2 linked regions of the Pelodiscus sinensis genome follow. The protein of the gene in region 2 purifies or fractionates together with the protein of the main gene of each other region. This does not show direct contact. Links are inferred from orthologs where the notes say so. Each region holds a gene or a part of one and is shown on either strand. Other genes may lie near its edges.

Region 1 (15,755 bases), on a different chromosome or scaffold from region 2:
CCATCTCCACCCTCTGACAAACAGAGGCTAGGGACACCATTCCTTATCCATCCTGGCTAATAGCCATTAATGGACTTAACCTCCATGAATTTATCTAGCTCTTTTTTAAACCTTGTTATAGTCCTAGCCTTCACAACCTTCTCAGGCAAGCAGTTCCACAGGTTGACTGTGCGCTGTGTGAATAACTTTCTTGTATTTGTTTTAAACCTGCTGCCGATTAATTTTATTTGGTGGCCCCTCGTTCTTATATTATGGGAACAAGTAAATAACTTTTCCTTATTCACTTTCTCCACACCACTCATGATTTTAAATACCTCTATCATATCCTCCCTTAGTCTCCTCTTTTCTAAGCTGAAAAGTCCTAGTCTCTTTAAGTCATTCATTGTGCCACGGCAGCAGCTACTCAATGGACTGTGAGGCACTGCCTCCTGCTGTACTCTGCTGCCCCTGCTATCCCCACCTGCCAGACAGGCCACCTGCAGGACACAGGAGCAATGCAGGGCCCCAGGTGCATTGTACCACTACTGCTGCTAGCTCCTCGCCATACCTGCTGGCCACTTGCTTGGGAGGTACCAAGTCCCGCCACTTATATTTTTTTCCCGCACTTTCCATTGTGTTGCTTTTCAAGCCTCATGTCCCACTTTTGTGCAGGAGGAATATGTGATGCTTTTCACATCCCACTTCAGTGCAGGGGTGTGGGAGAAAGAAACAGAAGCCATCAGCAAAGCCCTACCTACCCTATTTATTCTTCCCTCCCCCACTCTGCCACCACACAGCTCACCAACTGACTTACTGGCAGCCACTTGCATTTTTATTCTGCACGCCACCATTGTACTGCTTTTCAAGACACATTCCACTTGGGTGTGGGGGGGAGGCGTGCCACTTTTCACATGACACGTGGGGGGAGAAGGGGGAGTCGCGGAGGCCTTCCAGTGTATTCCTGTGTATTCTCCAACGTTCTCTGTGACAAATGGCATGATGGACAACTCTCCTTTTATAATAATATAGATTATAAAGAGATAAAATGTGGAACTTCATCTCCTTAGCAATGTCCTTTTCACATAACATTGCAAACTAGTATCCCATGACATCTAAGAAAGATAAGAGGGAAGGTCCTCTCATGGAGTGATAACTGGTTAAAAGATAGGAAATAAAGATTAGGAATAAATGCTAAGTTTTCAGAGTAGAGAGAGGTAACTAGTGGTGTCCCGGTCTGTATTGGGACCAATTCTATTCAACATATTCATAAATTATCTGGAGATAAGGATAAACAGTGAGGTGACAACTGCTAAAAGTATAAAACCCAAAGCAAACTGTGAAAAGCTTCAACGGGGTCTCACAAAACTAGGAGATTTGGCAACAAAATGGCAGATGAATTTTAATGCTGATTAATGCAAAAGAGTGCATGTTGGAAAACTTAATCCCAACTATACATATAAAATGATATAGTTGACATATAAAATTAGCTATTACCACTCAAGAGAGAGTTATTGGAATCATTATGGACAGTTCTCTGAAAACATCCATTCAATGTATACCAACAGTCAAAAAAGCAAACAGAATGTTGGGAATCATTAAAGGAATAGACAAGAAGACAGAAAATATCCTACTGTGTCTATAAGAAATCCATGATATACTCTCATCTTGACTATTACATGCAGATGTAGTCATCTCGTCTCATCTCAAAAAAGGATCTTGGCATTGGAAATAGTTCAGAAAAGAGGAACTAAATTATTAGGAGTATGAAACAGCTGACATATGAGAAGAGGTGAGAAAGACTGGATTTTTCAGCTTGGAAAAAATATGATTAAGGGGAGAGAGGAATATGATAGAAGCCTATAAAACCATGACTTATGGAAAAAGTGAATAAAGAAGAGTGTTATGGGAATGAGTAAATTACAAGAACAAGGTGTCACCAAATGAAATTAATAGGTAGGTTTAAAACAAACAAAAAATAAATATTTCTTCACACAACACACAGTCAACCTGTGGAACTCCTTGCCAGAAGACGTTGTGAGGTCCAAGACAATAACAGGGTTAAAAAAGAGCTAGATAAATTCGTGGAGGACAAGCCTCTGTTTGTTATAAGCTGGAAATGGGTCATAGGGAAAGGATCACTCTTTCACTCTAGGGCACCTGGCATTGGTTATTGTCAGAAGACAGAATACTGGGTTAGATGGACCTTTGGCTTGACATAGTATGCGCAGTCTTATGATATTTTAATAGCAATTTAAAAAAAGTAATGAGGATGTGGAACCAAATTAATCAAAATGGCTATACTTTTTAACAAAAGATCATCTTACTTTTTGTCATCAGGTCTTTAATTTCCTCTGTGATTACTTCATTTCCTGCTGTTAATAATTCGTATTTACCATCTTTGCTGCCAGAGCAAACAGATTCAACGAAACTACCACCATCTCCAAAGAGATCTGCAAATGCCCAGTGTTTTCCAGGGTACAAGAAACGACTAAAAGCGAGAAAGAGCAGCATAGTATTAATAATTTGTTTTTAGCAAAATAGATGAACACCCACAAATTGAACCACTCAAACAAGATTTCATTCCTAATAATTCTTGCTGCCCGGGGACACTAACAACCTAACTACATAAGAACCATGTTTACAAAACCCTAAATGCTATAAGCCCCACCAATATTAAATACTTTCTCTTTGATAATCATCCTGTTGGGAACTAGTATTCAGAAACCATCTTCCCCTCATTTCTTAACACAGCAATCACTGTGTTGTTTTGACAATCTCCAGGAAGGGAACTTGTACCTCTTTTGTTACCAGTCTCTCTCTCTCCATTTTGAAATAAAGATTATTTTTAATTTCAAAAGCTGTTTTTCTTCACCTTTTTCTTTTCATAATGCCTTACTCTTATTTTCTTTTGCATTCAATAATCACTAAAACCAGAACCCTCTCTTGTCTCCTGCTGTTTTTACTAATTTGTTTTCTGAAGAGGGTATTTAATAGATCATACATTTTACCCTTGGTTTGAATTACTCTCTTCAGCACACTGAGCTATTCAAAACAAACATGTGTGATGGGAAGTTTTACAAATAAAAATTACACTGATATAAGAAAGTTACTGTACCTTTCTTGTGTATGACTTGCTATTACAGCAAGTTTGTTGTTCCGATTCATAAATAGATGTGAATTTCCCATCACCATTACTGCATCCAGGCATTTTGATAATGTAAACTGTTCAAAAAAGAAAAACAAGAAAGGACATTGTGAAAAGCTCAGAAATATAGATATACCATAGGAGCCACCACATTTAAATAAAATAACTTTTTAAAAATCTGCACATAAGTAATATTTTCACTTAGGTTTGGAATTTACAAGGGAGAGAACATAAAATTCAAGAAACAGACAATCTCTACAGGAGGTAGGAAAGTGATTGGAAAATGTTTTTCCATTTCTTTATATGTGCATACAGAGACACAAATGGAAATTAAATAAATATTATAAGAGAGACTGACACACTCCAGAACTGCTAATATTCATTGTGATACTCCGGAATATGTTTGATATTGGAATATCTTTTATATAGGGTTCAGCATCATCAAAGATTAACTAGTTAACAAGAACTCTGTGATATAGGCATTATTATCCCAGTTTTAAGGATAAGGAAACCAAGGAATAGAGATTTTACAATTTTCAAGCGTCCTCTAATCAAATATGCATGTCCACCCTGAGATACTAACAGTTTGTTTTTCAGTGGTGCTGAGCAATTTATACTGATTTCAATTAGAGTTTTGAGTGTATAACACTCCTAAAAATCAGGCCCAAGATGTCTCAATTCAAGGATCTTAAAATTACTGGCCAATTTTGAAAATATCAGACTAAGTTACTTGATCAAAGCTTACAGAGCAGGTCAGTGACAACAGCTGGGATTAGAATTCAGAAGTACCCAACACTCTTATCTTGTATTCAGAAAAAAATTAAAAAACAACAAATAGTCCAACAACACCTTAGACACTAACAAACAATGTAGATGGTATCATGAACTTCTGTAGGCACAACCCACTTCTTCAGATGCCTTATATTCGGTTAGACAAAATGCTGCAGCGCAAATCAATCCAGCATATCATGTATTTAAAAGGGCATTAGACACAACAGTGAGAGATAAAAAGGCATCATTTAAAAAGTCAAAGTTCAATCCTAGCGAGGAAAACAGTAAGGAACAAACTCTGTCCAATTTAAGTGTAAAAATATAATAAGGAAAGCCAAAAAGAAGTTTGAAGAACAGCTAGCCAAAAACTCAAAAAGTAATAGCAAAATGTGTAAGTACATCTGAAGCAGGAAGCCTGCTAAACAACCAGTGGGGTCACTGGACGATCAAGATGCTAAAGAAGCATTCAAAGATGATAAGATCATTGCGGAGAAACTAAATGAACAAGGGAGATCCAGTGGATAGTGTACTTAGACTTCCAGAAAGCTTTTGGCAAGGTGCCTCACCAAAGGTTCTTAAGTAAAGTTAGTTGTCTAAGAGGGAAGGTTCTCTCATAGATTGATAACTGGTTAAAAGATAGGAAACAAAGGGTAGGAATAAATGGTCAGTTTTCAGAATGGAAAGAGGTAACTAATGCTGTTCCCCAAGGATCTTGTACTGGGACCAATCCTACTTAACCTATTTATAAATGATCTGAAGAATAGGGTATACAGTGAGGTGGCAAAAGCTGCAAATGATATTAAACTGCTCAAGATAGTTAAGAACAAAGCAGACTATGAATAGCTTCAAAAAGATCTCCCCAAACTAATTGATTGGGCAACAAAATGGCAAATAAAACTGAATGTTGATAAATGTAAAGTAATGCACATTGGAAAAAATAATCCTAACTATACATACAATATGTTGGGGACTAATTTAGCTATATCCACTCAAGAGAGAGATCTTAGAATCATTGTGGATAGTTCTCTGAAAACATCCACTCAGTGTGCAACAGCAGTGAAAAAGGCAAAAAGAACATTAGGAATCATTTTAACGGAATAGAGAATAAGACAAGAATATCTTATTGCCTCTATATAAATCTATAGTATGCTCACATCTTGAATACTGCGTAAAGATGTGGTCACCTCAACTCAAAAATGATATATTGGCATTGGAAAAAGTTCAGAAGAGAGGAACAAAATTATTAGGGATTTCAAACGGGATTAAAAAAATGGGACTTTTAAGATTAGAAAAGAGGAGACTAAGGAAAGACAGGATAGAGCACAGCTCAGCAACCCACAGTATGCATGCCACAATCGGCATGTGAGCTGATTTCCCGTGGCGCATGTGGTGGGAGTTCAGTCCCACCTCTCCCCCTTCATGCAGCCAGGGGCGTGTGCTCTGGTTTCAGCCTCATTCACACAGCTACTGGCTGGAACACGAGCTCTGGCTTCCTGCTGGAGGGAGGGAGCGGTAGAGGCATGCACATGTCCCTGGGGCTGCCCCTGCTCAGCCTGTGCATGCAGCTTCCAGGAGCTAAGGGGTTAACCCTCACCTCTTCCTGGCTACAGCCTTCTTGCTTTGAGAGGGGGTAGGGCTGGGTGGCCAGTCACACATGGGGCACCAGGACCCAGTATGCTCCCCACCGGCTGTGTGCAGAGATGAGGAGCCCCTTCTCCAGAGCACTTCTACACCCAGCCAGGCTAGAGCCAGCCCTAGGCAGCACCAGGCTCTGCCTGCCCCAGCCTCAGACCTGCAGCCTGCAGGCAAAGAGCTGGTCCGGGCAGGGAAGAAATTCTACTCCCTCTGCCTCTCCTCACTCCAGCACGGCTATTCTGTCCCGCACCACCTCTCTTCACTCCAGCACTGCTACCCTACTTGAGTGCACTAAGGGCACAAGGATGTGGATGAAGAAGGGGGGTGAAGGAAGATCCAGGGGCAGGATGGGAGGGTGCAGAGATTGCACTGAGGGGCATGGGGCAAAGTAGGGGATCAGGCTGCAGGGAAAGAATGGGGGGCCAGAGGTTGCACAGGATACTGGACTTGATGGACCATTGGTCTGACCCAGTATAGCTGTTCTTACATTCTTAAGATATTACTGCAACTATTTTATGATGATTCAACAAAAATTAATTAGGGGTATGAAACATCTTCCATATGATGAAACTTTAATAAGACAGGGACTTTTCACTTGGAAAAGGGATGACTTAGGGTGATGTCTATAAAATAATAACTAGTACTGAGAAAATAGATAAGGAAGTGCTATTTACCCCATTTCATTACACAAGAACTATGGGTTACCAAATTAAATAGGCAGTAGGTTTTAAAACAAATAAAAGGAAATATTTCTTCACACAATTACGAATTTTTTGACAAAGGATGTTGTGAAGACCAAGACTATAACGGGTTCAAAAAAAGAACTAGATAAATTAATGGAGGATAAAGTCCATCAATGATTATTACCAAGACAAGCAAGTTTGGTGTCTCTAGAGCAGGAATGGGAAATAATTTTGATGGGGGGGGCCACTCCAAGAATTTGGAAAGTGGTCAAGGACTGCACTCTTCCATGACATTAATGGATGACGTGCAGAGTCTAGGATGGAGGTTGGGTGCAGAAGAGAGCTTGGAATAAGTGACTGGGGTGCAGGAGGAAGTGTGGGGTCTGGGAAGGAGTTTGGGTGAAAGAGGCGATGGTGACCTGGGGCTCTGGACTGGGGTTTGGATTTTAACCTAGGTCAGAAATGGGTTGTTACCTGGGATGCAAGGGTTTGGGATATTACCTAGGACAGGGGTTTTGGTTGTGACCTAGAATAGGAAGGGACTGTAATCTGAAGAAGGGGATTGGGGGAACATAGGAGGGTGGGCAAAGGGTTTGGGTATGTGGAATAGAGGGCAGGAGCGGGGGGCAAAGTGTTGGGGGAGAGGCTGGGGTGCCTGAGGCAGGCTCTGGTCAGGACACTTACTTAGGTGATTCCTGGCCAGCACTCCAGTGGATTTCTCAGGCAACCTGCCTGCCTGTCCTCCCCAGGCTGCAGGGCCGTGTGTGTGTAAATAACTACAAGCCAGAGGGGAGGGGGCATGGTGCTTCATGGCTGCCTTTTATTCAAACAGGCAACTCCCATTGGCTGGTTTCTGGGATTGTTCTGGGGATTTGGGAAACACCTGAAGGCCCTCCCCACTCCTCCCAGCTCAGAGTTTTGGGAGAGAAACGGCCTGGCAGCCACTTTTCTAAGCAGCGTGCAGGTGGGGCGAGGCAAATAGGGAGTCTGTCTAGGGTTTCTCTGGGCCGGATTTTGCCCAGGCCTGCCCTACCATCTGTTAACCAGAACTGGGAATGAGTAACATAGAATAGATCACTTGATGATTACCTGTTCTGTTCATTCCTTCTGGGGCACGTGGCACTGCTGGAAGACAGGATACTGGGCTAGATGAACTTTTGGTTTTACCCAATATGACCGGTCTTATGTTGTGTAGTATTATTCTAATTTTGTATTCAAAAAGTATTTCACAGTTTCTCTTCAACAAATGCACTGCAATTTGGATTGTCATTCATTTAAAACAGAACTGTTAAAAAATTACAGAAAAGTCTTCTGGAAAACTACATTGTGACTGATGCTGGTCAGGAAGCCTTACCTCTGATTGTCCTAGTGCTTTCTTCCCCCACCAGATAGGGTTGGTGTCAACGATGACGACTAAGAGATTTAGTTCATCATCTAAAAAAAGCAATAATAATGCATATGTTTGAGAACAGACAACACAGCAGCTCCTTTGGAAATATGGGAAACTTAACATTTAAAGGTCTATAGGCAAAAATACCAGATGTTTTAACACTCATTTAGCTAAGAGTGCATAAGGGTTTGCAGGATCTTGTTTTTATATTGGCCTGTTTTAAAATTAAATACACTTTTATTTAATAACATTTTAGTCACACACACAACAGCAAAAAAAAGTTAGCACACAGTCAAAGATTCAGCATAATTGCAGTTTTTCCATGTGTTTATTGCCAAATATCCATGAACCACATGGAACAGGAGTAGAACGCATTATGTTACAGTAATGAAGACTGTATTATTGGAAGCCGGATAGGAGGCAGAGGCACTACAGAAATGCATGGACCGGGAGCCTGACATAGGGCTTCTTTTCAGCGTTTATCGGTTTCTCTCTCAACCCCTCTGTTCACAGATCGCACGCAGGTGCCGTTTCCAAACCCAACGCCTGTGGGGCGTAGGCAGCGTGGCTGCCCCACACAAGGGAAAGGCGGTGCTGGCTGCGGAACTCAGCGGGGCTCGCGGGCAGCAGCTGCATCCGCCGGACGCAGCCCCGGGCACGGCCGGGAGGACGGGGCCGAGGGACCCCGCGGCGGAGAGAGGAGGCAGCAGAGAGGCCTCGCACCGGGCCCTGAGGAGAGCGCGCGGGAGACGCCAGCCCCGCTTCCGGCGCGGCGCCTGGCCAGGACTCACCTGCGCTCATAGTGCCCAGCCTCAGGCAGGCGAAGAGCGGGCACCGGCCGGACTTTCGCTTCCGGCGCCTCGAGACGATGTCACTGCTCATTGGTCGCACGACGCGTGATGCTGCAAGAGCCGGCCGGAAGTGGTGCCCCCGCGAGCAAGCGCCGGGCGGGGACAGCGGCTCCGCGTGAGCGGCGGGAACAGACTCGGCTCTTGCGGCTGCCGGGGGCCCGGGCCGCCTGCCGCTGACACCATGAACGACGCAGGTAAGGAGGCCCGGGGCCCGATCCGGGGTGGGGATTAACCGCCCCCTCGCCAGAGCCGCGGCGGACACGTGCCATCCCCCTCCCGGCCTGAGGCTGCGCCTGCCCCGCTCCCTGGACCGGAGGGACCAGACCTGCCCAGCCCCAGGTGGGGCTTCCCCGTGGCGGGCGGGTCCCTGCGGCTGATGGGCCCCGTTTCCCTTCCAGAGCTGATCGAGGCCTTCAAAGCCCAGATGCGGGAGGATCCTGACGTGGCCTCTGCCGTGGCGGCTATCCGCGCGCTGCTGGAGTTCCTAAAGCAAGACAAAGGTACCGGCCCAGCTGCTCTGCTGGGCGAGCGCGGGACTCCAACCCGGGGCCCTGCCCAGCAGCGACCGGGAGATGGTCACGTAAGATGCGCACTGAAGTGCTGAATCCGTCCAGTAGAGGCCAGTGCAATACACATCACTGACCACCTTGCACACAGCTGTCATAGGCTTGGACGGATTTTGTTTATAAACCTGTTTCACCCTACACATTAGGAATGCAATAGTGTATCCGATTAACTGATAAACAAAAGCTTATAGGTTAATGCTATAGACATGCATTTCCCTCCCCTCAGCCTTGCCAGTCAATTTTTTAGCAGCCCTGTCAGTAGTCCAGCTCAGTCCTGGCTTGCGGCAGGTCCGGGACCTACCCGTGCTGTAACTCAGCATTTAAAGCGTATTAGGAGCTGGGTGAGCAGGCAGCCTGGATCATTTTCATCTCGCACTGAGTCCGGGAGCTCAGACCCTCTTGACAGAGGCAGCTGCTGCCCCACACTGCTACCTGTTTATCAAAGGCAGCAGCACAGGGTAACAGCCAGCCAGTCCGCAAGGGAAGCTGGTTTTTAAACTGGCTTCCCTCATGGATGAGTTACTGCCTGGTACCCCACGCTGCTTCCTTTGATACAGAGGCAGCAATATGATGCCAGAGCACATTGGCTGCTGGCCCCACCCCCAAAGACTATATACTTGTTGACTAACCAGTAAGTCATGAGGTTACTCGACTAGTCAGTTAATCGATAGTTAACATCCCTGGTCCGCATATCAACCAACCAAAAAAGGTTTCCATTGATAATTATTAACCTTTAAAAAGAAAAATGCTGCCTGAGAACTTATTCAAGGACAAACTTAAAAAACAACAAATAGTATAGTAGCACCTTAAAGACTAACAAAACATGTAGATGGTATCATGAGCTTTTGTGGGCACAACCCACTTCTTCAGCTGAATGGAATATTAGAAGTCTGGATCCAAGCATAAATAAGGGCAGGGGAAGAAGGGGGGAAAAAAAGAGAGAGAGAGACAGTGAGTAAATATTTCAAGTGTTTACAAGAGGCTGATAAGAACAATTAGCACCTCCATTGTTTAAGTCATTAGGATGTGGAAGTTAGTATGCCAGCCAATGGATGTCCCATTTCATACTATTTGCATAAGAATTACACTTGTAAATGAAGTTAAATTCCAATTCTTCCCTGTGTATTTGGCTTGTGGAATTGGCCTGAAATAACACCGTGACTTAGAGATCCATTAATGAATGTCCAAGCAGATGAAAGTGTTCTCTAACAATTTTTTGTGTATTGCCTTTTTGAATATGTGATGTGTCCATTTTCCTGTAATGTGGAAACTGGCCAATATACACTGCAGTGGAGCATTGTTAGCATTTGATGGCAAAGATCACATTAGTGGATGTGCAGTTAAATGAGCCTCTTGGTGGCTGATGTGGTTGGGTCCAATTGATGAAATTGATAGTATAGATGTGTGGGCAGATTTGGCACCAGGGCTGATTGCAGGGGTGAGGTCCAGGATGATTATGATGGAGGTAAGTTGCATGCTTACTGGAAATAATTTGTTTAAGGTTAGGGGGTTGTCTGTAGGCAAGGATTGGCCTTTCCCCCAAAGCCTCTGAGAGTGAGGGGTCATTTTCCAGGATGGGTTGTAGATTGTTGATAATGCTTTGGAGAGGTTTAAGTTGTGGACTGTAGGTGATGACAAGAGGAATTCTCTTGTTTTCTCTTTTGGGCCTGTCTTGAGGTAGTTCGTGTCTGGGTATTCTTTTGGCTCTGTCAGTCTGTTTTTTTCAGAGCTACGGGTGGGTATTTCAGTTTTAAGAATGCTCTGTGTAGATCCTGTAGGCGTTTGTCTCTGTTTGTGGGACTGGAGCAAATCCACTTGTAACTTAGGGCTTGGCTGTCAACAATAAATTGAGAAATGTGTCTGGGATGGAAGCTAAAGGCATGAAGGTAAGTGTAGCGGTCAGTAGGTTTCCGGTATAGGGTGGTGGAAATTTGTCCATCATTTAATTGTACTGTAGTGTGAAGGAAGTAGATCCCTCATGTGGACTAATCCAGGCTAAGGTTGGTAGTGGGCTGGAAGTTGTTGAAATTCCTGTGAAATTCTTCAAAGATCTCTTTCCCATATGATGAAGATGTCATCAATATAGCGTAAGTGTACTAGGGGTGAGAGCTGAGGAAACGTTGGTTTAAGGTCAGTCATAAAGACCTTGGCATATTGCGGTGCCATGCAGGTGCCCATGGCTGTACCACTGACTTGAAGATACAGATTGTCTCCAAATGTGAAGTAGTTGTGGGTGAGGACAAACCTCTGTAACCAGGTGTGAAGTGCTGTCATCAGGGATTGTGCTCCTGACAGCCGGTAATCCATCTTCCTGTGGAATGTTGGTATAAAAAGCTTCTGCATCCATGGTGGCCAGGATGGTGTTTTCAAGAAGATTACTGTTTTATAGTTTCCTCTAAGTCAGTAGTGTCTCAAAGATAGGTCAGAGTGCTGGTAGCATAGGGTCTGAGGAGAGAGTCAATATAGCCGAACAATCCTGTTGTAAGTGTGCCAATGGTTGAGATGATGGTTCGTCTGGGATTTCCAGGTTTGTGTATCTTAGGTAGCAGATAGAAATCTCCTGGTCCCACACTACTTTCCACATCCTAATGACTTAACCAACCAACAAACAGTGGAGGTGCTAATTGTTCTTATCAGCCTCTTGTAACCACTTGAAACATCTACTCACAGTAGCTACTCTACACTGCAGGCTTCTTGTACAAGAAGCCTTTTGCGCAAGAGTTTTTGTGCAAAAACTACTTGTGCAAGAGCATGTCCACACCTCAAAGCACATCGCAAAAGTGATGTGCTTTTGCGCAAGAGAGCATCCACACCGTATGGACACTCTTGCACAAGAAAGCTCTGATGGCCATTCTGTGAGTGGCCATCAGGGCAGCTGTGCTTTTTCCCATAGGGGTTTCTTATGCAAGAGAGGTTTTCTCATAGGGCATCTACACTTGCCTTTTTGCGCAATAGCTGTAGCGCAGCAAGGAGTTATGCCTCATAAAAGGAGGTTTACCTACACCAGAGAAGGCCCTCTCTCCTGCTGTTTTATTGTTGATTTACTTGCGCAAAAGCGCATTTGGGGTGTGGACGCCCCATGGGTTTTTGCACAAACAGCTGTTTTGTGCAAAAACCTTGCAGTGTAGACATAGCCTGTCTCTCTTTTTTTTTTTCTTCGCCCCTCCTTTTCTCCTCTCCCCCCTCCTTATTTATTCTTGGAGCTGGACTTCTAATACTCCAGTCATCTGAAGAACTGGGTGGCGCCCACAAAAGCTCATAATACCATCTGCATGTTTTCTTAATCTTTGAAGTGCTTCTAGACTATTTATTGCTTTTAAAGTTTTTCCTGCTACAGACCAACTCAGCTACCACTCTGAAGTTATTTGAAAACATCATTCAATCATTGTCTGACACCCCTGTAATTTCCTGCAACTGAAAACTAAGTTGATAAAAACTGAAAAAGATGCTAAAACTACAAAATATTTGCAGAACTGTGAGCTGCAAATTAAAATAAACCCTAATTAAAATTTTTTTTAATTAGATTCTGCCAAACCTAAATTTGAGACACATCTAATCAAATTCATGGTGTTTCAGATAACTGAAATTCAGAGCTTTGTGGTACTTCAGGTGATTATTTGTTGCTTTTTCAAGAAACAAACAACTGCAGTTCATCTCTGCTTCCAAGATCTTGCCTTTTCTTTTTTACACCAACAAAAATACCCCTGCTCCTGCATTGCAGTAAAAGGCAATCCCTGTGTTTTGAACTACACTGTTTTTTAAAATTCAGAAGAGAGTTAAAGATGAAGGTCTTGGAGCAAAAAAGCAGGCTACACCTTCATCAAAAGTTTGAAGTAAGAAACTTGCCTGGTAGATAATGTGCAGAAATGAGCACATGCTATGAGAAGTGTGCATTAATAATCAAAATCTGGAAAACAGTATTAATACAAGAAAGGTTTTCAAATGTATGCGGTGTTTGTTTCATTAAGTATAATCTGCTTCATTGGATGTGTGTTCGTCTACTCAGAGTGGCTAATCATGGCTGCTGAATTACCTGAATAATGTCAATAACTTGTCCTTCAAGTTACAATCAAAGCACATCAATGAACGGATGGGAGAAGTCAACACTACTTGTTAACTGTGTAGTAGTATTTAATCAATTTTAGTTCCTGGCAGTGATATATGTTTCAGGTGTACTTATATTTTTTTTAAGATTACTGTTATTCTAGAGAAAGTTGGATGGAGGGCAGAATGCAGGTAGAGCTTACTAGACTATAGATTTTATCCAAACTTATGGAATCGGTTGTAGAATTGTTCCATGGTATAATAAACTTCCACTATAATCCTAATACATCGAAGGAAAAATACCAAGTGAGTCCCCCATTAGTGCTATACCAGAATATATCTAAACTTCTGTCTAGCATGTAATGAGTATCTTGTTTTAAAATGAAGTTTGCATTTCTCTCTCTCTCTCTCTCTCAGGTGAGACCATTCAGGGTTTGAGAGTAAATCTCAAAAATGCAATTGAAACTCTGTCTGGTGTTGACTCTTCAGTGGCAGTCTCTTCAGGGGGAGAACTCTTTCTAAGGTTTATCAGTTTAACCTCATTGGAATACTCGGTGAGTTTGTCACCAAATGTAATACTTTAGGGATCAGTGAGGTAACACTTAGTGGTCCCCAACGCGGTGCCCGTGGGCACCGTGGCGCCCACCGGGGCATTTGTGCGCCCACCGAGTGACCAGGGCTGGCCCAAGCCATTCTTGCACCCCAGGCACGCACCGCATGCGCGGTGCCAGCCCCGGGTGCGTGGCACGTGCGCAGCCCTGCCCCTGGGCGCCCAGCAGCTCCAAAAGGTTGGGGACCACTGACTGTTACAGAGTAATCCTGGGCCTTATTTTTTGTTCTTGTTGCTTTTTCCAGGATTATTCAAAGTGTAAAGAAATCATGATTGAACGAGGGGAACTTTTCCTTATGAGAATCTCTCTTTCAAGAACCAAAATTGCAAAACTCTGCCACACATTCATCAAAGATGGTGCTGTAAGTATGAGAGGACCAATTATGCTGTTCTGGGTGTACCATTATTTCTGGTGATGCAAAAAATTGAAAGGTTTTATCATGATCTGTTAGGCAAAACACATTATTTGATGTTGGCTTTCCCAGCTAATGATTTTATTCCTAGGTATCACATTTGCTTATGCTACATATTCAGATCATTTTCTAAAACCCTTTTTCTTTTCCCTCTCTCCACCTTTGTTTCCATACAAACTGATGTTAAGCCAGTGGTCTGGTTCTAAGTGGTTCAGAGCACCCACAAGTACTGGCTTAAATGGAAGTTGTGGGTTCTCAGCCCCTCTGTGTCAGAGCTGCAATAATGAAGTACCCTATAAAGTCCAACTTTCATGATGGCTTAACATTCCATGACTTACAAAAATACAGGAGTTAAATATTGGATAGGTCATCAAAAATATTTACAATCCTTAAAATGTAACATTTTTGTAAGATCTAGGATATAAGCTAAAGTAACTGAAAATAATGTATAGAACACTTGTGCATGATAAATAATTACAGATCATGACAATAACAAATCTTTCCTGAAACTTCTTGTCTTGTTTTATCAGCAAATATTAACTCATGCCTATTCAAGAGTGGTCCTCAGAGTGTTAGAGGCAGCTGCCACGTCAAAGAAGCGTTTCAGTGTTTATATTACTGAATCACAGCCTGATCAAGCAGGGCAAGTATATGTCAAATTTGTCATCTTAATTAGTAAGATACTGTAGAGCTAATGTCCCATTTTAAGAACAGCTTTTACTTATTTCTGAATTATTGAAAGGTAACTATTTCATTGCAAAACATCACATCTCGAGACAGTCTGTTACACCCTTCCAAAGAAAGGTTGTCAACTGGCAATTCTGTGTAATAACTAAACACATTGCATCATCCCCAAACTTTCCAGTTAAGGTATAACAAAGCTTTAAAGGTCAACCACCACTAGGCAACCCATTTTTCTCTAAAGATTGCTTAAAAGGACAGCCAATTGGAAGTATTTTTAAAAATAAGATAGGTGTTTGTAACAATAGTAGAATAAAAATATTTATTAATAATGTGGGGGTTTTCATGTTTTGGGTTTTTTGTTTACAATTAGTTCTCATTAAGATACTATGTCAGTCACCAAAGGATACAATGTAGCATGAAGGAAGTCAGGAAATCAATCAGCAAATCACACATGCTATATATCAACTAATACAACAAACCAGGCAGTGTCATTCCTAATAACTGAAGTATCTGAATTTGGGGCAGATAAAGTGTGATTTTAGCTTTACTAAAGTAACATTTAACAATCTCTTGTATATAACACCAAGCAAATGAAAATATGAGTGTTTAAATATAAACTGTCAGTTTAATCAGATTTGCATGAGTCTTTTACTTTATATAGTTACAGTAACTAACTATGATTTCTAAACAGTCTTTAGAGGGGACTCCCTGTATAGTGTCAGTTTCACTATTTCCTGGATCGTTTGTTTCTCCTTTATTTTCATGAGTTTTTCACACAACATGGAGAAACCAAAAAAAAGTGATGGCAAAAGCAGTTACTAGTAGAGAGCTGAAGCCATGTATGTTCTATCATCAGATTTCATTCATATATACCTCAAAGTTAGTTGTATCGCATCTATGAATTTCACTGACATCTTTCAATAAAGTTTTTAAAACTGCATAAACATTATTTTAAATAGGCAAAAAATGGCAAAGGCCCTTAGC
Region 2 (16,464 bases):
CGGTGAGCCCGGCCTCCCCTACCGCCACGGCCCAGGGTGCCGGGTCTCTCCCCAGCGCGGCCGCTTGGCGTGGCTTCCCAAAGCAGGGCCCTGTGTCTGCTGCCCAGGCCTGAGCCCCCCCTCCCCACGCACAGCTGGGACCCTCTGCCCAGGCTCAGCCTGTGAGAGCTGGGGGACCCCCTGCCTGCTGGGCCGTGAGGCTGCCCCCAGATGGCTGAGCCCAGAGCTGCGGACAGACCCGCCGGGCGCAGCGATCGGGCACGTTGGCCGGCTCCGGCGGGCTCCCTTCCAGCCTGGGGCCGGCTGACTGTGTTCTCCCCCCTGCAGAGGATCGCAGCCGCTTCCTGAGGTTTGTCACCGGCCGGAGCCGCCTCCCGGCTCGGATCTACATCTACCCGGACAAGCTGGGGTGAGTGCCCCGCCGGGCGCCGGAGTCCCTGTGCCAGAGGCGCTCTCCCTCGGCCGGGGCTGAGCTGCTTGTCCTCTCTCCCCAGCTCAGAGACGACGGACGCGCTGCCCGAATCCTCCACCTGCTCCAGCTCCCTCTACCTCCCCAACTACGCCACGTGAGTCGCGCCACCAGCAGCCACTTCGCCTGCCCCCTGGGCTGAGCCCCACAGAGCGCCGGTCCCGGGGAGGGTCCCGTCAGCTGGGTGTGGGGCGGAGGGGTGGGCCCCAGCAGCACAAAAGCTGGGTTCCGTTCCCGGCTCTGGCGCTTGGCTGTGCCTCGGTTTCCCCCAGCGTCCAGGGAGGCTGAAGCCGTGGCTTAGCAGCGCCTGGCTGGTCCCGGCAACCCGCGGGGCGGTGACAACGGCTCTTCTTTTCCAGCGCCAAGGTGTGCGAGGAGAAGCTGCGCTACGCGGCCTACAACTGCGTGGCCATTGACACGGACATGAGCCCCTGGGAGGAGTGACGCTGATGGTCCCAGGGACTGTTCTGCACTGATTTCAGTGTGTGTGGTGAATAAACCCCCGGTGTCGGCTTGGCTCCGGGGCAGGGCCAGAACCAGCCCGGCTCTCTGGGGCCTCGGCTTCCTGAGGGGCAGGGCCAGCGCTGAGCCGCTAGCTTAGCCCCGCGTCTCCTTTCACCCGCGCGTGCTCCACCTGCCCCGGGAATGCAGCCACCTCTGGGGTGCAGCCCGGCAGGGGGTCTGCAGCCGCACGGCAGGCCGTGGAGCGACGGGACAGCCGGTTCCAGGCCGGCTCCAAGGGCCGCCCTCCTGCCCCGCTCGGCGTGTGATCAAACCCGCTGCACAGGGATCCGCGCAGCCCCCTTGTTTCCCAGGCCGCGTCCTGCCGCTGCTCCCGGAGGGGCTGGGGGCGTGTCCACCCCCGCAGCCCGGTGCCACGGGGCGTGTCGTGGGGATCAAGGCCACGGAGCCCCCAGCGTTCCTGCCCCTTCTCCACAGCCCCCCCTTCCTCTGCAGAGGGACCCCGCCTGGGCCAGGCCCTGCAGTTCACCACTGTGGCCAGCAGGTGTCACTTCAGGCCTGCTGCAGCCCCTGCCCCATGTCCCCCAGGCCTGATCTGGGGCAGTGCCCCCCGCGGCCAAAGCCGAGCTGCTCCATGGCACCATCTAGCCAGGCCCCCGCCCTGCCCTGCCCTGCCCTGGCTGCGGGGGGGTCACAGTGCAGCTGGCTGCCTTTCCCGGCGGGGGGGGGGAGTCCTGGAGCCCTCAGGCCAGGCCTGCGGGGGGGCGTGTCCCTTGTGCTCTGGTGCAGGCGGGTTCAGCTGCTCCCTGGGGGTCGGGAATGGGCAAGAGCAGCACGTGGGGCTCAGGGCTCCTGGGGTCCCGGCTCGGCTGTGCCGTGGTTCCCTCTTCTGTCCCATGGGGCTGCTGCCGGGGGTTGGGCCCAGGCCTGCGTGAGGTGCTGGGAGCTCCCAAAGGCTGGGCTGGTACAGGGGCCCCCCCAACTGCCGGACCACCCCGGGGTGCTGTCTGCATGCCCCTGGCACAGGGCAAGGCCGGGCCTTGGTCGGGTCAGTGTGTCAGCAAGGGGCCAGCAGCCCCACAGGGCCCCTCAGCCCCCGGCCGTGCCTGGAGGGTGTCTGGGGCTGCTGGCCTGGGAGCTGCAGGGCTCCCCTCACCCCCTGACAGCTCCCCAGCCACCACCCAGCCCTGTGTGCCGGGGTCGTTAGCAGCTGCCCTGTGAGCTCCTGCCCGGGGGTCAGTGAACCTCTGGGGGGGTGAAGCGCCCAGGACGCGGCCCTCTTGCCGTGGGCAGTGGTGCTGAGCTGGGGGGGAAGGGCACTGGCCCTTTGGCTGCCCCGATCCTGGTGCCTTGCCCCCGCCTCCTTTCTGCTCTGCTCCTGCTGAAGCACCAGCCGGGGCCACGGGAGGGCACGTGCGTCAGCCCATTACCTCTGCTGCCAGGCTGGGCCCAGCCAGCTGCTGCTGGCAACACCCTCCTAGCTGGAATCCCGGTGCAGAAAACCCCCCGGTGCCTCTCCCCGGCCCGGCTCCCGCAGCTGCAGGGGGGTCTGGCCTGCTCCCTGGGACTGCAGTCCTCTTGCCAAAGCCGCCAGGCCACCCACGGCGGCGCTAGATGCCAGGAAGGCTGCTGCTGGCACCAGGGCCCTGGGTGGGGCTGGGAGGGCTGCCCGTGCCGAGTGAGTAATGTCCCACACAGAGCGTTCCCAGCCCGACAGCTCCCAGGCAGCCAGTGGCCGAGGCTTCCCCCCAACCTGCCGTGGGGGCCTGCCCGTGCCCCGAGAAGGGCTGGGCTACCTGGGCATCACTTGGCCCTGGGTGGCACGTCCTGCTGCTGCTCTGCACCGAGCCCTTGTGGCCAGCAGGGGGTGCTGCACACTGTCGCGGGGGTGGCTCCGGCCCCTGGGCTCCCCCCGTCCCAGCTCTAATCCAGACGCCGGCCCCTCTGTGCTAGGAGCTGCTCGGGGCCGGGCCCTGTAGCTATGGAGGGAAGGGGCTGGGGGCAGGGCCCGGCACAGTTCAAAGGAGCAGGCCCCCCCTTGGAATCCAGCCCCATGTCCCTTTCGGCTGAAACGGGCTTCTCCGTCACCTGCGGCCTGCCCCCTTGGCGCCCCAGTGCTGCGTGCTGGGAAGCAGCTGCTGGGTCCCACCCCAGAGGGGGCTGCATTTCTGTGCTGGCTCTTGAGCCGGATGGAGAGGGGTTGCTGGGCCTCGCTGGGCCGGAGAGGTGCTGTCTGGGTGGGAGACCGCTGGGGAGGGGTCTTGCTCCCCAGGCAGAGTGGATTAGGCTGTGACCAAGCCAGGGGCCCAGGCTCCGGGCCGTGTGGGGCGGCAGAGCGGGGCAGGTGTGCTGCAGCCCCAGCTCTTGCCTGGAGGGGGCGCCCTGGCAGGTGATGCCAGCGCACGGCTCCCTCTGTGACACCGCAGGGCCCAGAACTGCCTGAGCCGGGGGGGATCCCGAGGGCAGCTCCCCCTATGGGCAGTGGGGTGGGCACAGCGGGGCCCGGGGGAGGCAGGAGTGGCTGGGGGGAGGGGATATTTGCCTCAGTGTCTCCAGGGTCAGTGCTGCTCTGTGGGTGCAGCCGGGCAGCAGCAGGGCCTGCGCTGTCAAAGGGACCCAGGAGTCCTGTGAGGCCCCTGGCTGGGGACAGCTGGGGGGCGGGGAGCTGCCAGCCCGAGAGGGAGGACTGGTCGGGTTCTGCTGCAGCACAGGGAGGGTTAATGGGTCTGGGTGCAAAGGGCTCCCCAGTGTCCTGGGGGTGGCCAGCATGGCCCCCAGGCCCTGGCGGGGGGCAGCGGCTGGCAGGGGGGATGGGGTCTGCGTGCCCCGGCGCTGTGAGCTCCCCGGGCCCGTGTGCCCAGACCACCCACAGGCAGGCGGCTGCTCCGCTCCCCCAGGCAGAGCAAAGTCCGGCAGGTCGGGTCAGGCCTGCAGCTGGGTGAGCGGGGGAGGCAGAGCGTGAGCGAGTGGGAGGGCACAGCGGGGCTGGGAGGGGGGGCTGGTCCCCTGGCAGCCCAACCCCTCCCTGGGGTACAGCCAGCTCCACGGCAGGCTGGAGACTGGGGTACAGCCTGTGGGCTTTTCTGCTCCATGGGCTTCCCCCCGCAACACCCGACGGGCAGAGCCCTAAGCACCCTGCAGCCAGAGAACAGCTCCCCGCTTGGGCTCGCCGGCAGCTCCTGTGGTGTCCAACACACTAGCCACACGAGGCTGTTTGGCCGGTTGTGTGGGGCTAGGTGGCTAGAATAATAACTCTAGACCCACCGACAGGCTGACAACAGTCCCCATTTCTGTGCTCACCAACAGCCTGACAACAGCTCTGCCCTGGCCCGATCCAGGACTCTCAGCGCTGGGGCCTCCAGAACCAGCAGCGGGTCGCGGAGGCTGGATGCGACTCCGCGAAGCCAGCGGGCTCCCGGTCCCAGCTGGAGCCAGTCACTCTCCTGCACTGGCTGAAGCGCAGGTCTGAGCCACCCTGCTGTGCTCCCTGGCTGGACAAGGGACCAACCCTCGGCCACTGAACGCCGCGGTGCTGCCGGGTGTACCTGGTGCCTCTCCTGGCAGGAGCTGCAGCTGTCCAGCAGCATGGCAGAGACCCGGCTGAGGGCGTTGTTGGCTAGCCTAGGTGCCCAGCTCCTTGGGTGCTGGCGCTCTCCTACCGCTGGGGCAGCTGCCCAGTGCATGGCATTTCCACAGCACCACTAAGGGCCATGCACTCGGACAAGGCCGTGCGGTGGCCTGCCTGGCTGGGAAGCCCTGGCCCAAGGGCTTGTTTGGGACAGTTACGTTGAACTCTGCAGCCGATACACAGAGGAGCTGCAGTAGGGCAAATCCTATGCCAGCTGGGGTTTCGTAGGCACACAAGCGCTTGCTTGTTCCTCCTAGTTAGCGTGTGTGCATGTGTGCAGAGGTGTGTTAGTGCATGCAGTGGTGCGTATGCGGGTGCAGAGGGGTGTTAGTGCGTGCGGTGGTGCGTATGCGGGTGCAGAGGGGTGTCAGTGCATGCGGTGGTGCGTATGCGGGTGCAGAGGGGTGTCAGTGCGTGCGGTGGTGCGTATGCGGGTGCAGAGGGGTGTCAGTGCGTGCGGTGGTGCGTATGCGGGTGCAGAGGAGTGTTAGTACGTGCGGTGGTGCGTATACGGGTGCAAAGGGGTGTTAGTACGTGCGGTGGTGCGGGTGCAGAGGGGTGTTAGTACGTGCGGTGGTGTGTATGTGGGTGCGGAGAGTGTTAGTGTGTGCGGTGGTGTGTACGCAGGTGCGGAGAGTGTTAGTGTGTGCGGTGGTGTGTACGCGGGTGCGGAGGGGTGTTAGTACGTGCGTATGCGGGTGCGGAGGGGTGTTAGTACGTGCGGTGGTGTGTATGTGGGTGCGGAGAGTGTTAGTGTGTGCGGTGGTGTGTACGCAGGTGCGGAGGGGTGTCAGTGCGTGCGGTGGTGTGTACGCGGGTGCGGAGGGGTGTTAGTGCGTGCGGTGGTGTGTACGCGGGTGCGGAGGGGTGTTAGTGCGTGCGGTGGTGCGTACGCGGGTGCGGAGGGGTGTCAGTGCGTGCGGTGGTGCGTACGCGGGTGCGGAGGGTTGTACATGGGTGCAGTAGGGGCCCAGCCCCAGCGTTGCACAAATGCCAGGCTCCGTCGCGTGACAGTTCTTCCCTTTCCTCAAATCTCCTTTAAAGAAACAGCGAAGTCGCTGTGCCCTGTTCATCTTACGGGAAGGGGCTCGGGGGGCTACTGAGCTGAGCGCCCCACTGGCCATGTCGTCGGCTGCGTGTGGGTAGCGTGGTGTCCAGCACTACGTGTAGGATTTCCCCAGCCCAGCAGGAACGGTCAGTGAATGCCCATGGTTGTGACCTGGGAATTCCCCTCTCCTCCCAGCTCCGGAGGTGGCCCCTGCCACACACACAACGTTCCAGCCACCACAACGTTCTTGTCTTGGAGCCTTGTTGCCATGCGCGGCGGCGTTCCTGCTGCGCCGCGCCCCAGAGCCAGCTGCATCGAGCTCGGCTGAGTTCCCTTTTGATGTTAATCACGTTTTTCCTATGAATCCTACAACAACCCGGGCTGCTCCCCAGGGGGCCAAGCGGGAGACTCCTGAACAAATTGGCCGCTGGAGACAAGGCCCAGGACGATGTATAAGAGGCACAATTGTGGTTCTGTGCCCCAGTTCCTGTTGCGGCTCGTCAGGGCCGCATCTGGTTTGGGGATGGCGGCTGGATGGGTGGTGTGTTTCACGCGCCAGGTGTGGGCTTCAGGTCTCCCCCCCCCCCCCATCAGCGAGACAGCTGCTGTTCTTCCAATTTCACACACACAGCAACAACCCGCCTCCTGTCGCACCTCAAAGGGCCCCTTTGTGTGTGGCAGGGCCGGGGGACGCCGCTGGGGGATGACTTATGGGAGCTAATAACAGTGGGAGGCTCAAGACAGGCCCCAGCCAGCCAGGTGACTCAGCCCAGCTGGGCTGTGTCACCCTGGGGGCTTTAAGGGAGGAGCAAGGCCTAAGACAGGGATGAACAAAACCTCTGGAGGGGTCTTCTCCCTCCATCTGCCTCCTGCCCTCCCCACGCCCAGAGTGCCGGGACCAGCACACTGGCGCAGCAGCGTCTCCTTGGCTGTGCGGGGGCACTGCGCCTTGCTTGGCCCTGGGGCCGCTCAGCTGGTACCTCACCTGGCTCCAGCTAGCCAGGCTCTCAGAGCACGAATGAACAGAGCGGGCAGAGCCAGCGCCCAGGGATGGGGCCGTCGAACCCATGCGCGTGTTTAAAAGCACCCCCGCTGAGTGCCCAGCCTGCTAGGTGGGTGGTTGGCCTCCCGATGTTGAGCTCAGTGTAACCAACGCAGCAACACCTGCCTGAATAGGAATAAGAGATCCTCCGGAAAAGGGAGAATTTTCCGGACAATCACGTCTAGACTGGCGCTTTTCTCCGGCTTATCCCCAAGCCGGAAAAAAGCGGCAGCCATGTAAATGCAAATGCCGCGGGGGATATTTAAATCCCCCGCGGATTTGCAATTGCGATGTGTCTCATTAGCAGCCCTTTTCCGGAAAGGGATGCCAATGTAGACACAGCCCCAGGGAGTGTTGACTCTGAAGCCTAGCGATGGCAAATGTAACAATTACTGTTGTTATCTATTTCACCAGCAGTCCTTTTAGCGGAAGCATCCAATTGCTGTGGGCGTGTGGGCGGAGCTAGTGATTGTGGGTGGGGCTAATGGGCATGTCCCTCTGGACAACACCCTGGAGAAATGAGCCTCGTCACGGGCCTGGATCGACTTGCTCTGTGGTTCCATGGATGAGCAAGTGGAAGAACCGCAGAGTCTCAGCCCCCTCTGCCAGCCTCGAACCTTGCACCCTTTACGCGCTAGTGTGGCGGCAGCAGGGTTACGAGGGGCGGCCAGTTTGGCTCTGAAACCCAGCACTGGATGTTTCGTGGCCTCAGTCACCAGCCCGCAGGCCCTGGCCTTGTCCCTTGCCATGCCAACTGGAAGGGCAGCTGCACCTCAGTGGAGGAGTTTGGGGTCAGAACTAGGGGACATGCTGATGTTTGAGCACTTGCAGCCATTGCCATCCTGCTTTATCAGCCGACACTGACAATACTCATGTCCCCTGGGAGCTGGGGGGAGAGGCAGCCCTGCTGCCCCCATTTCACAGATGGCAAAACTGAGGCACCAGCTTCTGCCTGCCTGTGTAAACACCTGGTAGCTGCCAGAACCTGGGTGGCCTCATATAGGCTGAACTGCGACCAAATTTACCCAGGAATCGAGGCATATGCCCAGGGTGATGCAGGGCCAGAAGGCTACCTCTGCCTTGCCACTGGAAGAGGCTGGTGCTGCCCAAGCCACGGGCAGATGTGGCACAGCGGCAGAGGGACTCCGGGACAAGTGCTGTCCCAGAGCCATTCAGCGCAGGACTGGGACTTGCAAGGCACAGTTGGGACTGTCCCCCCAATCAGAGACACGTGCTCACCCCCCATCCATGGTTTCCTCTAAGTCATGGGTTCCCAAACTGGGGGGGGGGGCGTGAAGAACTTCTGGGGGGGGCATGAGGCAACCCAGCCCCCCCATCAATTCCCCGCCCCCAAGTTGTGCTGCTATTTTTGGTTGTTTTTTTTGCTCAACAAGTTTTGCTGCTATGGGGGGGGGGGGTGAGTGTTTCTCAAAAATCAAAAAGGGGGCGTGATGCCGATAAGTTTGGGACCCGCTGCTCTAAGCGGCTACATACAAATAGTGCTGCAGCTCACAATTGCAACAGTCCCGTATTGCCTGGCGTGCATGGTAATGGAAAGCACTCCTACGAGAATCAGTAGCGCAAGATCGAAGCAGCTCTTAGTGGGAATGGGAGATCCCTCTTTTGCCCCTCGGGGACCCGAGAGGGCTCCAGCGGGCGAGTGCAAGGAAGTGAAACACTGAGTAAGTGAACTTAGCCTCTTAGCACTTACATGACCTAAGCGTATTTCATGGAGCATAGATTGGTTACTAACATGTCAGCAATATAATTGTTGGCCTAGCATGGTTAGTAAGACCTTGGAATACCCCGTTTGGCAAGGAGTGCAAACCAAGCCTTTCAGTCTTTGGAATGTCCTGACTGCCCTTGACTTGGCCATAGGACAAGGAAAGCACAGGCAGGGAGAGTAAGGGGAATCCCCATCAAATGAGATGAATAGCTTTGTAATTAAGCAGTAGAGAAACGTTATATAATCTAGTGGGTAGCGTGGGATTTTACATACAGTCCTAACTGTTAGGAGGCTGTGAATTAGAGGAGGGGGTGCGGGTAAAAGCAGGGAGTAGATAAAAGTGGGGTGTCCTGGCTGTAAAACGAGTGTGTTGCAAAGAAGCAACAGATAATTTATCTGTATAGCCTTTGTCCATGTAACTCATTGGCCTGTTATCCCATTGATCTCTGGGGTGGGGTATTCTGTAGCTATGCTGCAGTAAACTTGTTCCTTGGCTTTGAATGTGGAGTTAGCAGGGGGTTCTGTCTGCTTTGCTAAGTTCAAAAGGCAACCGGGGAGCTTGGTTGGTGGTCCCGGAGACATCCTTCCAAATCAGCGAGGTCTCCGACTGGCAGCAGCAATGCCTCTGCTGGGAGAAGTTAAGCCAGTTATAATAATTTTAGCTCTTGTCGGGAAGCTCTGGCGTTTTCCCAGAGTCCTACTGGTTTGGACTTGAAAATATTATTCATCTGTGGAAATAGTTTCTATTGGTACAGCAGCACCGATGCTTCTTAAATGGAGTGCCTTGGGGGAAAAAATGGGGTTCCCTAGCCAGGAAAGAAATCTGGGGTCCATATTCTGTGGTTTAGATCAAATTGGAAGCAGACCTCTGTCTGATCACGAAATATTTCCAATTCCACATGCAACTTGTCAAATAGGAATTTGGGAATAAGAGCAGTTCAAGAGTAGGGTGACAAGTGTGAAAAGTTAGAAATGAGATGGGTCCTAATAGTGCAAATATCAGACCTGTCCCACTAAAAATGGGTATTTCGGAGAACAGGTGCCCTGCAAAACAAGTGTTCGGCGTGATGAATGGGGGCTCAGAGTGAAGAGCAAAGTCCAGGGAATGAGGGTGTCTAAGGACACTTGGCCAGTGTCTCCCGACAAACTCCATCGTGCCATGCACTGGGGGGGACTCTGCCCCCCTCCCAGAAATACACGCAAGTTGCTGTGGAGATAACGGTGCTGCCTGCATGTTTTGACGCTGTGCTTTTTTCTTTGGTGATCGGCTAGTCCTCCTGCTGAGGGAGAAATGCTCAAAACCAAGAGCCCCCGGTGGCCCTAAAGCTCATGCCCAAAAGGCAAAGAGAGAACCCAAACTCTATCATTTACACTAAGCTATCCCACTGGGACTAGGCTGATCTCACAATCACCTGCGGCTGCTGGGGTTGCCAGGTGTCCGGTATTCACCCGGACAGTCCGGTATGTTTGCCTCCTGTCCGGTAAAAAATTCAGAGAATACCAGACACCTAAAATGTCCGGTATTTTCTGATTTTTTTCCCTGGCCAGGAGGTGAAAATGCCGGGCACCTGGCAACCCTGCAAACACTCAGCCTCCCCCCCAGCCCTCTCCTGGCTCCCAACACCCCCAGCTCCCCTGGTGCCCCCCCCCCTTTTTTCCCCTTCAACTGAATTTTTTCCCGGTGGTTCTTTTTTGGGGGGGAGGGGGGTTCGGTATTTTTGTTGCAACCATCTGGCAACCCTAGCGCTGCCCAGGATCTCTGCAAGGGGGACCCCCCCCATTAATGGCAGCCTGCGCATCCCTGCCCGGCCACTGGAGGGGGCTGGCGAGCCCCATCTGCCCCCAGCCACGGTGCTGCCTGGCTCTGCTCCCCCTGCCTGCTCCCCAGCGCCTGCAGGAGGCTCCTGGGATCGATGGCTCTGTGCTCCTCCCCGTCCCCGCCGCCTGCTGCAGGGGGATCGATGACTCCGTGCTCCTCCTCAGTCCGGGCTGAAGTCCCCCCTCCCCTCCGGGAAGATAAATCGCTCGATGGCTCGGCGCTCTCCGCCGATCGATTCTCTCGGGGCTCGCCGGGTACCAGCGCAGGCGCAGTACCTGCCTGGGCCGCCATTGCTGTCCTGTCAGCCGGCGGAGAAGGCACCTCAGGTAGCGGCTGCTCCATAGAGCCGGGCTCCCCTGGCTGGGGGGCCGGGCCGGGCTCCCCTGGCTGGCTGGGGGGGGGGGGGAGAGGGGGGCCGGGCTCCCCTGGCTGGGGGGGGGGGGGAGAGGGGGGCCGGGCTCCCCTGGCTGGGGGGGGGGGGGGAGAGGGGGGCCGGGCTCCCCTGGCTGGGGGGGGGGGAGAGGGGGGCCGGGCTCCCCTGGCTGGGGGGGGGGGGAGAGGGGGGCCGGGCTCCCCTGGCTGGGGGGGGGAGAGGGGGGCCGGGCCGGGCTCCCCTGGCTGGGGGGGGGGAGAGGGGGGCCGGGCCGGGCTCCCCTGGCTGGGGGGGGAGAGGGGGGGGGCCGGGCTCCCCTGGCTGGGGGGGGGGCCGGGCCGGGTTCCCCTGGCTGGAGGGGGCGGGGCCGGGCGCGGGGGGTTGCTATCCCGTGTGCTGCGCGTTGGGCCCAGGCCAGGCTGTGGCGCTAGTGCTGGTCACCCCCCCCCCCCCCGCTGTGGAACTTGCCCGTTGCCCGCCCCCCCCCGGCGGTTCCGTTGCGCGCGTGTCCCTGGACGAACGTTCAGTAAACGGCCCCGCGAGGAACCGCCGCGAGCTGTCGGGGGCGGGAGTTTGAGGGTCATGCCCCCGCCGAGGAAGAAGGGCGCTGTGGTGGGGGGGGGGGGGCCGCGCTCCGGGATCGCTTTATCCTCTGATGAGAGCCTGGTGCCTCTGCCGCTTCCCTGCAGAGCTGTCGAGATGGAGTTTCAAGCGGTGGTGATGGCAGCTGGTGGGGGATCCCGCATGATGGACTTGACTTCCAGCATCCCCAAGGCCCTCCTGCCAGTAGGCAACAAACCTTTGATCTGGTACCCCTTAAATTTGTTAGAGCGAATCGGATTTGAAGGTGAGAGATCCCTGGATTTAATGAATCCCTTCTGCTGTCAGTGCAGGGTAGCCCCACGGGACACACAGACCTGGCAAAAATTCAGGAGGTTTTTTTGAATGTACAGTTGTCATGGAGAATATTGAGGATGATTGTAAGCATAAGGTCGACATTTGTTAATTTTAATTTTCACAATTGTATAAAGTTATGGGTTTGCAACTTTTGTTAATCTAGTTAAATGTAAACAGTTTTGAGAAATTATGGAGAGCGCAGGTAGTAAATACTTAATAATAACAGTAAGCATTGAGAGTCAAAGACTTAAAGCTTTATATGCATTAAAACAAATAGTCATCATCACACGTCAAAATATACAAAGTACATATCGTTACATCAAAACTCTTATAAATTCTCAACCAGCATTGGCCTTATTTTGTCTAACTAGCTATAAAAGTATTTCATAGACTACTAGAACTGGAAGGGGTCTCGAGGTCATTAAGTCTAGTCCCCTGCATTCGTGGCAAGACCAAACATCATCCAGATCATTCCTGATAGATGTTTCTGTCACCTGCTCTTTTATTGTCAATGGGAATGTGTTTTGTTAAAGTTGTAGGTGTACAATGAAATTGGCATTTACGAGTAAAATAGAATCCTTCCAAGTCTAATAGTTACTGAATACATTCATAGATGTAAAGGCCAGAAGGGGCCAGTTGGATCTTGTCTGAGAATAGAATTTTAAAAAATTAAGAAACAACTAGTTTTGCTGCACTTTAAAGACTAACAAAATGTGTAAGTGGTATCATGAGCTTTCATGGGCACAACCCACTTCAGTTACCCCTATATTGAGCCCAATATCTTGTGTTTGACCGAAGTATTTCTTCCAAAAAGGCATTCCATCTTGATGTTTAGGACATCCAACAATGGAGAAACGCCACTTCCCTTGGTAGTTTGTTCTAGTAGTACCCTCATTATTCAAAAATTGCGTCTGATTTCAAATTTGATTTTTCTGGTGTTTTCCAACGGTGTTTTCTTGCTCTATCTTTCTCCAATAGATTAAAGAGCATCTTGGTACCTGGCATTTTCTTCCCATTAAAGTACTTATACACTGTAATCAACTTGCTTGTGAATCTTTCTGGTGAGATAAAGAGATCGAGTTCCTTAAGTCTCTCACTGTACATCGTTTTCTCCATCCCTCAGATAATTTTGTGTGTCTTCTCTGCACTTTCTCCAGTTTTTCATCATTCTTTTAAAAATGTGGAAACTAGAACTATACTCAGTATTCCAGCATCTGTTTCACCAGTGCTCTGTAGAGAGAGAAAAACACCTCTCTATTTCTGCTTGTTGTTACTCTATTTATGTATCAAGGGTTGCATTGGCCCGTTTTGGGTTCGGGCAGGGGTGAGCAATAAACCGGAGCCAGGATTAGCTCCTGGTGGGCCACTGTCACTTCATTTTACTTGTGCGTCTGCAGATACGGTTGCTTCCAGTTCCTGTTAGCTGCAGATCGCCATTCTTGACCAATGAGAGCCGTGGGAAGCAGTGTGGACAGGAACATCACTTCTCGCAGCTCCCATTGGCAGGTAACGGTGATCTGCTGGAAACAGACATGCAGGTAAATGAAGTGCTAGTGGCCTGCCAGGGGCTAACTCTGGTGAACGGAGTCCAGTTTGTGGGCCACATGTTGCCCACCCCTGCCTTTGGCTCTTACGTTGAGTTATCTGTTATGGTTCCTAAATCCTTTCCAGAGTCGCTGCTTTCTGGCATACAGTCCCCCCACTCTGTAGGTAGGACTTATGTTTTTTGTTCTTGGTTGTCTAACTTTGCATTTGGCTGTAATAAAATGAATTTTATTGGAGTGGGCCCAAATCATTAAGCAGTCCAGATTGTGACAGCCTTATCGTCTTTCCTGTTTACCATTCAGCCAGTCTTTGTGTTAGCAGCACATTTTTATCCGCCGCAGTCTTGTATGTCCTTTCAGATCATTGATAAACATGTTAGACTTCCATGCATTTAACACCTCATATACATCAAAAGTGAAGTATGGGATATGTCCAGCCCACTCAGTTAGCCTCATTAGCACCAGTACTACAATTGACAGGTGCTTTTTTTTTCTTTCCCCTTCTTTTTCTGTTATAAATTCTGGGTTTCTGTCATTTCCACTCCAGCTCATCTGAAAAAGTGGATTTTGCCCACAAAAACTCATGATACTACAGGTTGGACCTCCCTGGTACGGCACCCTCGGGACCTGACCTGCCCCGAATCAGGGAATTTGCCGGAGCAGGGAAGGTTCCCTGCCACAGTCTGCCAGCTGTGAGGGCCCCCTGACTACTCCCAGCACCAGCCGGTCCTGCTGCCACTGCCCTGGCTTGAGGCTGCCTGAGGGCTCCAGCAGCCCGCACTGTCATGGGCTGTCATAGGCCCCAGCTCCAAGCTGCGCTGCACTGCGCTGCCACCGGCCCAACCCCGGCCTCGCTGCCAGCTCTAGCCCTGGCCCGCTGGTGGGGATTGGTTCTGGTCCTGCTGCCACGGGCTCCTGGGGCTGTTGAGGGCTCCTCCTCCTGCAGGCTGCCCGAGGCTCTGGAACAGGCCCCGTGCTGCCACAGACTGCCGGGGCTGCTGCCAGTCCCGGTCCCAGTCCTCCTGCCATAGGCTGCTGAGGGCTTAAACTCCTGCCCTGTGGCAATCTGCAAGCTCTGGCCCCGTACTACTATAGGCCATGGCATGCCCAGTCCTGCACTGTGGGTGCTGCCCCGACCCGGTCTCAGAGCTGCAGGGGGATGCTGCTGGCTCCAGCCCCACTGCTGCAGGCTGCTTAGAGTTGCTGCCAGCCCCAGCCCTTTCCCCTCCTGCTGCTTCAGCCTGGCCCTGCTTTTGGATAGCCTTCCTGCCACTGGTGTGCCGGGCTCTCTGAACCAGGAACATCTGTGGTAGTGCTGGATCACGGATGTTGCCGGACCAGAGATTGCACCTCCCAAAACCAGCAATCTGTGTGTATATTTTTGTTAGTCTCTAAGGTGCCACAGGACTATTTGTTGTTTTTAAAGCTACAGAGTAACACAGCTCCCCCTCTGAGACACGTTAAGATGAGTTAGGCCTGACAGGGCTGATGGCAGCAGCACTCCACTAGAAGCATCCCCCTTTAGTCGTGATTTCCCCATTGGCGAAAGGATTAATGGACACAAATCAGATATTCTAAATGGTAACACACAGAGACCTGTTGGGGAGCATTTCATCTTGCCCGGGCACTCATTAATGGATCTCAAAGTGACTATACTCTTACAAAGCAATTCCAAAAACCAGCTGGAGAGAGACGCTGCGGAACTTGCCTTCATTTGCAAATTTGGCACCTATAATAAAGGTTGGAACAAAGACATGAACTGGTTAGGCCGCTACATTCAACACCCTAATGACATCCGAAGCTCACTGTCGGGCACTTATAGCTCACTCCATTAGCCTCATTTAACATGGACACTCTTAATTGACAAGATTTATTTTTCCTTCTCTTTCCCTCCCCATCTCCTCTCTTTCTGCTATTTATTTGTACCTCTGGACCCCTCGCTCCATTGATCTGAAGAAGTGGCCCACAAAAGCTCATGACACTACCTACATTTTTGTTAGTCTCTAAGGTGCTGCAGGACCGTTCACTGTTTAAGTTTCTTCAGCTCTGTTAGCCAGTCCTTAATCTATGTTATGTGTGTGGTATTGTCCTAATTTCTTAATCCAACTGTCCTCTAGTGCTAAGTCAAACATTTTACAGATGTCTCTATGTTGTATCTAGGAAATTACCCTAATCAACCGAATGCTAATTCTCATCCAAAAAATCAGGTTTGTTTGATCAGACCTTTTGTTTCATAAAACCATGCTGTCTGGCATTAATTATTTTCATCCTTTAATTCTGTATTACTTTTCTTTTATATTTCCAGCCAGTTTAGATCTCTTGATATCATTCTACTCTTGCCAGTGTTCACAGGTCCCAGTATATGAATTTCAATAACTTGAAATTCAACCCTCTTTTTCTTTCATCCAAAGAATTTATGAAAATGTCAAGTGAGACTGAATGTACTAACAACCCCTGCTCCACTGGCCATTTCACCTCAACTCAAGACCTTGCCATTTATCACTTTCCTTTCTTTAGGTCCTTTAGCCAGTTTTGAATCCAAGGAAGTTTCATTTTGATTTTTGAGAATTTTTGTGGGGCGGGGGGTGGGGGAAACCGGGTCAAGTGTTTTACATCAAACCAGTTGCAATTCCATGCTCCTCTCATGCTCTGGCTTTCTAATTCTAGTAAACAAAATAAATCCGTTTTGAAAAGCAGCTCCCAGTTACTGTTACCAAACTAGGGATGTGACCAACTAGTTGGCTAGTCAGTCTCCCTCCCTTGCTGTCTGTCAGAAAGAGGCAGTGGGGGAAGGGAGGAGGAAGAGAAGGGGGCGCTTCAAAGCGGCAGTGCTGTGTGGAGCCTGGGGTCAGACACCTGACTCCATGCAGCGCTGCTGCTTTGAAACGCCTTGTGTAGCCTGGGGCCAGCTGGGGAGTCCTCCCCCCCCCCCCTTTCTTTCCCCGCCTCCCCCTTGCTGCCTCTTTCTGGCAAGACTAGAACTGCTTGAATACCCCGTTGGCCTATGCTCCCCACAGAGCTTTCACCTGTTGCTACACTTCAAAAGCGGAGGCGCCTTTATCAACTAATTGAATAGTCAATGCAAATTATATTGACTATTCGATTAGCCAGTTAATCTAAATTTAACATCCTTATACCAAACTGCCTTGTTTTCATTTCCTCCATATCCTTAATTAGTAAATCCAGGAGGGTTTCTTTGGTTAGATTATTTTCATATTGGATCATTCTTTTGTGTGTGTAATCTGGGGACATTTCTGATGCCTGTATGGTTGTAGTGGTTACCTACCGTAAGTCCTGGGAAAGTCTTCAGGAATATAGTATTTCATGGGTTTCAGTTACTTCAAGAAGTTTTGCTTCTCTCTGTCCTTCGTTCTTGGATGTTAGTAGTAAATGCCTGTTGCAGTTGCTGTTTTGCTATAGTCTTTGTTCCTTTATCTTCACTACTTTCCCACCAGT

Evidence for each region.
Region 1: the proteins of EIF2B3 (region 2) and EIF2B1 purify together in Homo sapiens (affinity purification with mass spectrometry; 7 studies listed by BioGRID and IntAct, counting the BioPlex papers as one, with this or other methods). This does not show direct contact. The link is inferred for Pelodiscus sinensis from reciprocal best matches to the Homo sapiens genes EIF2B3 and EIF2B1.

The regions. Positions count from the first base shown.
Region 1 is NC_134725.1:31,215,367-31,231,121, forward strand, and holds the start of EIF2B1 (translation initiation factor eIF2B subunit alpha), read left to right. Parts: upstream 1-8,514; 5' UTR 8,515-8,635; coding exon 8,636-8,648; intron 8,649-8,852; coding exon 8,853-8,954; intron 8,955-13,481; coding exon 13,482-13,618; intron 13,619-13,919; coding exon 13,920-14,036; intron 14,037-14,617; coding exon 14,618-14,730; intron 14,731-15,730; coding exon 15,731-15,755. Other genes in the region: GTF2H3 (general transcription factor IIH subunit 3), read right to left, coding at 2,304-2,467, 3,095-3,201, 7,568-7,647, 8,395-8,485.
Region 2 is NC_134719.1:1,353,958-1,370,421, reverse strand, and holds the start of EIF2B3 (translation initiation factor eIF2B subunit gamma), read left to right. Parts: upstream 1-10,392; 5' UTR 10,393-10,520; intron 10,521-11,256; 5' UTR 11,257-11,266; coding exon 11,267-11,414; intron 11,415-16,464. Other genes in the region: E3 ubiquitin-protein ligase HECTD3, read left to right, coding at 1-2, 328-409, 495-566, 829-913. UniProt on the Homo sapiens protein: Acts as a component of the translation initiation factor 2B (eIF2B) complex, which catalyzes the exchange of GDP for GTP on the eukaryotic initiation factor 2 (eIF2) complex gamma subunit.